Mus musculus: one gene and its partner. The protein of the gene in region 1 binds, or shares a complex with, the protein of each later gene. Links are inferred from orthologs where the notes say so. Each region holds a gene or a part of one and is shown on either strand. Other genes may lie near its edges.

Evidence for each region.
Region 2: the proteins of Cd40 (region 1) and Cd40lg are in contact, whole or in part, in a crystal structure (PDB 3QD6), measured with the Homo sapiens proteins. The link is inferred for Mus musculus from reciprocal best matches to the Homo sapiens genes CD40 and CD40LG. Residues at the interface, in NP_001241.1 of Homo sapiens: Glu64, Ser65, Glu66, His76, Cys77, Gln79, Tyr82, Asp84, Asn86, Leu87, Trp109, Cys119; in NP_000065.1 of Homo sapiens: Ile127, Glu129, Ala130, Lys143, Gly144, Tyr145, Tyr146, Cys178, Pro217, Cys218, Gln220, Ser245, Gln246, Ser248, His249, Gly250, Thr251, Gly252.

Annotation. Positions count from the first base shown.
Region 1 is NC_000068.7:165,068,839-165,072,417, reverse strand, and holds the end of Cd40 (tumor necrosis factor receptor superfamily member 5 isoform 1 precursor), read right to left. Parts: intron 2,790-3,579; coding exon 2,703-2,789; exon of another isoform or gene 2,602-2,702; coding exon 2,570-2,601; intron 1,697-2,569; coding exon 1,505-1,696; 3' UTR 1,460-1,504; coding exon of another isoform or gene 1,448-1,459; 3' UTR 764-1,447; downstream 1-763.
Region 2 is NC_000086.7:57,210,835-57,215,100, reverse strand, and holds the start of Cd40lg (CD40 ligand), read right to left. Parts: upstream 2,959-4,266; 5' UTR 2,947-2,958; coding exon 2,791-2,946; intron 1,137-2,790; coding exon 1,005-1,136; intron 1-1,004. UniProt on the Homo sapiens protein: Cytokine that acts as a ligand to CD40/TNFRSF5. Costimulates T-cell proliferation and cytokine production.

The DNA of each region.
Region 1 (3,579 bases):
TGTCACTGTGGGTGTGGGCTTTAAGACCCTCACCCTAGCTGTCTGGAAGTCAGCTTCAGCCTAGCAGCCTTCAGATGAAGATATAGAACTCTCAGGTCCTCCTGCACCATGCCTGCCTGGATGCTGCCATGTTCCTGCCTTGAGGATAATGGACTGAACCTCTGAACCTGTAAGCCAGCCCCAATTAAATGTTGTCCTTTTAAGAGTTGCCTTGCTCATGGTGTCTGTTTACAGCAATAAAACCCCAACTAAGACAATCATGTAGCCCAGGCTGACCTTGAGTTAACTATATATCCAAGGCTAGCCTTGAACTCCTAGTCCTCTTCCTCCTGAGTGCTAGGGTTACAGGCATGCACCACTGTTGAGGTTTGATCTTGCTCTGTATTGTAATGGGTTTGTGGCCCCAAGACCTGGAGTCTGTACTGTAGACAACCCCCCCAAGTGACCCCAAGTTATTTCTGATTGGTAAATAAAGATGCCAGCAGCCAATAGCTAGACAGAAGAGACATAGGTGGGGCTTAGTATTCCTGGGCTTGGCGTTAGAAGAGAACCAAGAGAGAGAAGAGGTGAATGGAGGAAAGAGAAGCCACCATGGATTAGGAGAGTTTAAGAGAACATGGACCTGGGGCTGGCCAATAGGAGATAAGAGCAGCCCCGATGAAACATAGTAAGTAGTAAGTAATAACTGGGGGTTATCAATAGGAAAGTAGATTCAAATAGCATACAGGGTAGGCAGGTGCCCAGTTCTTGTGCTGTTTAAGGCTTATTGTAAATATAAAGGTTGAGTGTGTCTTTTATTCAAGAACTAAATGGTAACACACAGGTAGAAACCCCAGGGCGGGATTAAATAATTTCTACAATACACCACCACATCCATTTTAGGATATGTGCACATGTGCACACACGGGGTACATTACCACAGAGCACACATGGAGGTCAAATGACAACCCTCTGGATTTGGTTCTCTCCCTTTTACCATGAAGTCCCAGGGATCAAAATCAGGTAACCGGGTTTGGGCAGCAAGCTCCTTTACTCACAAAAGCCATCTTACCTGCCTTGGAATGTGTTTTAAAAGCTATTTCTCTACCCATCATTCTACTACCTGTTTTCTGCCCCACCTGCTAGAGTTTCTGAGATGTCATTGTATAAATAATTACAGATTTATTTAGCCAGTACCCTGCTGATGGGCAACCAGGTGCCCTCTAGCAGCACAAGCTGTGGGCCACGGACTCCTGTGTCCATGACTCCTTACAGTGAACGCCGCAGCAAGACGACTCTGGGTCCTGCACTGCTGCACTTGGTAGGTATCACTGTGGACCCCCGATGCCCGAGCTCTCCCTCCATCCTTAAAAAGCAAGTTGAGAAATGATAGGGGGCAGGCATGAGAGTTAGCTGCACTGGGCTCTGTCTTGGCTCATCTCAAACTTCAAAGGTCAGCAAGCAGTCCTCAGAGCCAGGCCCCTGCTCCCGAGCCGAGCCATCGCCTCCAAAGCAGTTCCAGGGTTCAGACCAGGGGCCTCAAGGCTATGCTGTCTGTCACCTGCCGCTCCTGCACTGAGATGCGACTCTCTTTACCATCCTCCTGTGTGACAGGCTGACACCCGTGCAGCGTCTCCTGCACTGGAGCAGCGGTGTTATGACCGGGATAATCTTCCATCTCCTGGGGATCTTGCCGTCGAGCCGCAGGGGGTAAGATCTGGGGAGTCAAGGTATAAGGTCCAATGTCACCTCTAGCCACAGAGCCACCCTGCCTCTGAGGAATAGAATCCCTCCTTCAAGTCCTTTCCAATGGGGTGGGAGGATGGGGGTGTACCAAAACTGATTTCTTGGATGCCTTCTGCCCCCTGCTGGACACATGAAATTTGGCAGGAAATTTCCAGAGCCACTGCAGACCAGCAGGAGAAACTGCCCCTTTGGTTCCACCTACTGGCCCCTGAAGGCGGGATCCACCCACCCCCACCCCCCACCCCCACCCCCCGCCGCCGACTCCCATCCCCAGCATTCAAGGCTGGAGGAAAGCACAGCCAGAGTTTCTCTGCCAGTGGTGCCCAGCTCTGCCCTAAGGGGAAGTAGTTGAGTAGGAGGAAGCGATGGAGACTGAGAGCAGGGCTGGGTGGGGGTGCGAGTAGCCCACCTATATGTTCCAGGGAACGGACCCTAAACCTGTTTGGGCATGTGTGTGCGCGCATGTGCGCGCGCGGAGTGTGGCGTGGTATTGGGTGTATGCTCATGGCGTAGAGGGTCCACACACCCATGTACACATTATTAGAGGCTAGAGGTCAACATCTTGTGTCTTCTTGCACTCTTAACCCTTATTTTCCGAGTCAGGGTTTCTCTTGGAACCTGGAGTAGCCCATGGTTGGCTAGCAAGCTCCTAAGATCCCTGTGTCCATCCTCCCCCCCTCTCCCCGCCCCCACCAGCGTGGGTGTAATGGGCCTTTTCCATGGGTCCACACTCAAGGATCCAATACAAGCTCTCTGCTTACTGAGTCTGTCTCCCTACGCCGTGAGCCTCCCTCCCTGCCCACCAGTCACTCTTTCCAGCATCTCTCCCTCAGGGATGGCTTACCTCATTATCCTTTGGTTTCTTGACCACCTTTTCTAGTGAGAAGAAGAAGGGGTGTGGGACATTGCGAGGGTGAGTCAGGAGGCTGGTTCGACAGGGCTGAACCCTCCCTCCCTTTCCTCTCCTGAGCACTCACTGATATAGAGAAACACCCCGAAAATGGTGATGAGGATGCCCATCACGACAGGAATGACCAGCAGGGCTCGCATCCGGGACTTTAAACCTGGAGAAACAGACTTGAGTGGACCCCACTGGCAGATGCTCCCACTGGCGGGTGCTCCCAATGGAGTGTGCTCCCACTGGCAGGTGCTCTCACTGGCAGGTGCTCCCACTCCTTGCCCAAAGCATCTGTACACTCCCAGAATCCAGGTCAGAGCTTTTAAGCAGTAGCATTGTGGGTAATGTGGTCACTAGGGGAACTTTTAAAACGCTTTATGGTATTTGCCAGTGTTTATAAATTGAGAGAGTCCATCTTTGTGTGGTGGTGGGGTACGGTGTATGTGGGCCTGGTATGTGTTTAGATGTGTGCATCTGTGCACACATGCAGAGGCCAAAGGAGGGTGCTGGTGTCCTGATCCACCATATTGCACCTTCTGCTGAGACAGAGTCTCTTGAGCCTGGAGCTAGTCTGGGAGGCAACACCCTACAATTCTCCTTCTAGTGCCACCCCCCTACACATGGTATTAAGGTCACAGTCACATGTGGTGTGGCCACACCTAGCTCATGCTTGCATAGTAAATACTCCTACCCTTTGAGCAGTCTCTAGCTCTGGGAGATTGCAGTTGGAATGAGAAGCCCCCAGTGAGCCAACTTCCCATCTGGTGTGTTCGTCAGCTGTGTCTTGAAGGGACAGCCTGCCTGCCTGCTTTACCCCTCCCTACACTAGCCCCCAAATTGTTACATCTGCTATGGAAGTATGGCGGAGAGAAACAAAGTATCTCTGTGTCTGCACTGCTATTCTAAGTGACAAATGAAAAGACCAAAAGGCAGGTACTCTTAGAGGCAAGGGGTGT
Region 2 (4,266 bases), on another chromosome or scaffold:
AAACTCACCAGTCTTGCAAATAAAGTGTTAAGAATTTTATGGAAATCCTAGATTATAGAATGGGGAGGGTTAATACACAAGGTACAAACAACTGAGCATTGTACAAAACTAAAACAATAAAATCTAGATTAAACTGGACATAGTGCTGCATGCCTGAGGTTAGAAGCAGAAGGATGTGGAGAGCAGGTCTTCAGCCACATACAAGTCTTCTACAAGCTGAGGACCATCCTATGCTACTCAAGATTGTCTTGAAAAATTAAAAAAAAATACATTCTAGCTTAAAATAAAGTCAGGCAGATTTGAACTGAATTCTGATCCCAGTAAGTGGCCTAGGAGTAAGTTTTTAGAATCTTCCTCTTCACTAGGTTAAATTATACCTTGCTGACCAAATAGGAGGATGTATATTAAGTTCTGAAATAAGGTTTGAAGAGAACAATGAAGTGGCTCAGTGGGTAAAGGCTAAGCCTAAGGATGTGAGTTCAATCTGCAGGATTCACACAGTGGAAGGAAAGAAGCAAGACTCGAAAGCTGTCCTGTGACTTCCATATGTGTCATGAATTTATAAATGAAGTAAGATCCTGACTTCTTTACTCTATTATTGGATTACACATTATCTGTACAAAAGAATGAAAACTTTTTTGTTGTTGCAGTAGTATGCACATAGCCAACTCAGCTCTCTTCTTCATTTTATTGTAAGGCTTTGTCTTTTCTTTTCTTTTTGTATGTACACATTTCCACACCTACACATATGTGTGTACATGTATATATATGTACGAGTATGTTTATATACAGTACATTTTGATCATGTCTCACTCTGTAGACCAAGCTGACCTGGAACCCACAGCAGTCGTCCTTTGACTTTGGCCTCTCAGGCGCTGAGATCGCAGCTGTGCCCACTATCCCTGCTTATACGTTAAAGCTTCCCAGGGTCAGAATTCAGTTTGCAGGACTGGGAAATGTAAGAAAACTTCTCTGTGAAATCTGCCAGGAGCTGAGCACCTTACCTTGACAAGGTCTTCAAATTGCCTTCTCATCTCCTCACAGTTCAGCAAGGATAAAGATCCTTCTCCTTTGTTGCATCTCTTTAGCTTTTTTATGAATACAAAATCTTCATGAAGGTTTACTTCCTCTTCGACCTGTTTTGAAATAGGAGACTGGTGAGAAATGTCATAGTGAAGAAGAATGCAGCTAATCACGTCTGCCTCCACATCCACTTCCATGGCACCGACGAGAGGGGGACTTTGACAGTGTAAATGGGGGAATATTAAAAGGTATCATGCTGGATTACTGCTGTTTGGCACTTGCCATTTAACAGCCTAAAAAGCCGGTGATTCCGATGGCATATTTTCTGTGCCTCTCAATAGAAATCATAGCTATTCTAATGACTTTTAATCTCAGTGTACCACAACAGCAGTGTCCTATAATTGTCATGTTTCCCACCAGCCATAAAGTAGTTTGCTGCCGAGCTAGTTTGCCTGCTTCATGGTAGTGTTCATGACACGAGGCATTACAGCGGCATTCATTCACAACATGGATTTATAATTACATCTCTCATTTCTTCTGTACTTGTAGAAATGCTTTGCATTTTAAAAGAAATTATCTCTTATCCCCAAAGTGAATGCAATATTTTCTTTTTTATATGTGAGTAATTAAATGTATGCAATTAACTTGTGTTGTCAACTAATTCTGAACAATTTCTTCTTGTCTTAAGGGCAAATTCTTAACTTTCAAAACAAGAACCAATACAAGTATAGTGGAACATGTGTGTAATCTCTATATTTGTAGGATGAGGCAGGAGTGTTCCTGTGAGTTAGAAGCCAGTTTCGTCTATCTAGAGAGTTCCAGACCATTCTGAGCTACAGTATGAAACTGTCTCAAAAAGGGGGGAAAAATCCAAACTTAACCAAATAAAATCAAAACAAAATATAAGGTGGAGTTTGCCAATAGCTTTGCCTGTCATTTAAAGTTCACTTAAATTTGACAGCACATTTGAGTCTATATGGGTTACAACTTCCCCATTATCCCTTAGCATTTCATAACACAGCCCATATGGCCCTCAGTGGATATGAGCCAGCACATGGAAACAGCGTAGATCCTGAAGTTACTGTTCTTAGCTAGTCTGCTCCCTTCCTAATCATTTAAGCATGGAAAATCTCCTCCGCGGAGCACAGAGCAGCTTACAGTGGCAGTTGGCATTGAAGAGTTGCACAGATAGCACCATTCTGACTTTAAAAATCAATCGGCAGATTGGGAGCATAGTTCATGTCTGTACTCATCCAAAACACAATGGAATTTCAGATCAAATCAATGTTCCTTTTTTTCTGGCTCACCTTTTAAAGTTGTTTTCATGGGGCTCATTTTTTTAAAGTTGTCTTCGTGGGGGGAAATAGTTCACTTTGGGGAGCAACTTTTAGGAACTAACTAGCATGTACTATGTGCCAGGCATAGTTTATCTCCTCTTCAGGGCTAGAATCATTTGATCTGTGCCATGGGTACTATGTCTACCTCTATTTCCCTGGGACAGAAAAAGAAATGAAAATATGAAGTGACATGTGCAGAATCTCAGAGCAGTTAAGAGCTAAGCTAAGATTTGAAGCCAGGCTGTCTGATTGCACATTCCAAGATCTTAGTCAGAGGTAAGGTTCTACTTTCTAGGCAACAAACATTATGCCACAACAAACATTATCCACTTTCTACTGTTCTCCATCATTTAGGTAGAACTTAATTCAAACCGTCCTAGATCAATAAGAACCCCCAATTTAGCTAATTAAGGCTTGTAGGTCACCTTACCTTATCCAATCTTCTATGAAGATACACAGCAAAAAGCACAGATCCAATCATTTGGGTGATAAGGAAAACAGTAAGTAAATACATAAAAATCTTCATGCTCGCTGGAAGTCCAGTTGCCACGGATCTGGGGGAAGGTTGGCTGTATGTTTCTATCATGCTGACTGAAAGCTGAAATGGTGTCTTCTGACCAAGAATGGGACAGAGGCAGCATGAGAAGACTGTCAAAGTGGCCGCCTTACTCAGGATTAGTTAAGAGCGCACAATCGTCGCAACCCACACTTCCTGGAAAATGTGCTTCGTAGTCTTCTGTCCCAGCAAAAAAAGTTACGTAAAGGGTTTTTCTTTTCTTTTCTTTCCTTTTCTTTTTTTAAATCACACCCATATCATTCACTTCCAGGCTTTCCCTTTTGTTAGTAAAGAAGAAACGGGTTTCTTCTTCCATACATTCATTCTTGCCTTGAAATGTCAGACTTCTTAAAAGACAATGGCAGTATTTTTCCTATTGCTCTCTAAAGTTTGGGGTTCACCAGTTTCAAGGAAAGTGACAAATGAGTCCACTAGTAATAAACTTATTTCAATTTCAATCTTACTAACATAAATCTGGAACCTGGTATAAAGTTAAAGGACTAGATGTTAGCAAATATAAGGACTGATTTCATGTCCAGTGTGCCGCCCCTTAATTGCTTCTCAGGACTTTGATTCTTTAATCTCTAAGCTCAATAAAATCTTTCTAGCTTTACTAGTCAAAACTACATGTCATAAAGCAAAAAAAGGGCTCCACATTTATTAAATAAGATGTAGCTAGAAAGAGAATTTATGTAAAAAACAAACCAATAAAAACGTTGGTGAAAAGCAAAGCTAGCTACGGTGTTTGGGAAATCAGACAGAAACTTGGGGACTGAAGCTAAAGGCAATGATTAGCCTAATTCGGCCACATTCTCTGTCTTCACAGTTACAGTCCACTATACTGATATGTAGCTAAGGATATGAAAACTGAGCTTCAGCTGAGAAACCTGGATTCTAGTCCTTGCTGTACTAATAAATTCCTACGAACTCCCAGTAAGTCACTTTGCCTCTCACTCTCCCCTACACAAAGGGCTTTGCCTAACCCATAGGTTTTGGAGAAGACAGACTAAAGATGCTAAGGAAAAAGACTTTGGAGGCATCTCACACAATATATAGTTATCCCTATTTTTTTTAACAGTTTTCATACCCTATGAAATGAGTTTTCCAAATGATTCCTAACTCTTTATATGATGAACAAACTAAGCTGAGGCCAAACCACCTCAGGTTGTGACACTGTTTTCGGAAGTATACATGTATGAATGGCCATTGTGATGTCATATCAGATAACCTTCAAACTAATACAGCTGTGGAAATCTCTCTCCCACATCCCAACTTCCTGTATAGAAACTGGTAAAATTGCTTTGGTGATTCCTACAAACTTGTTTCAAGAGACAAATAGGAAATATAAAC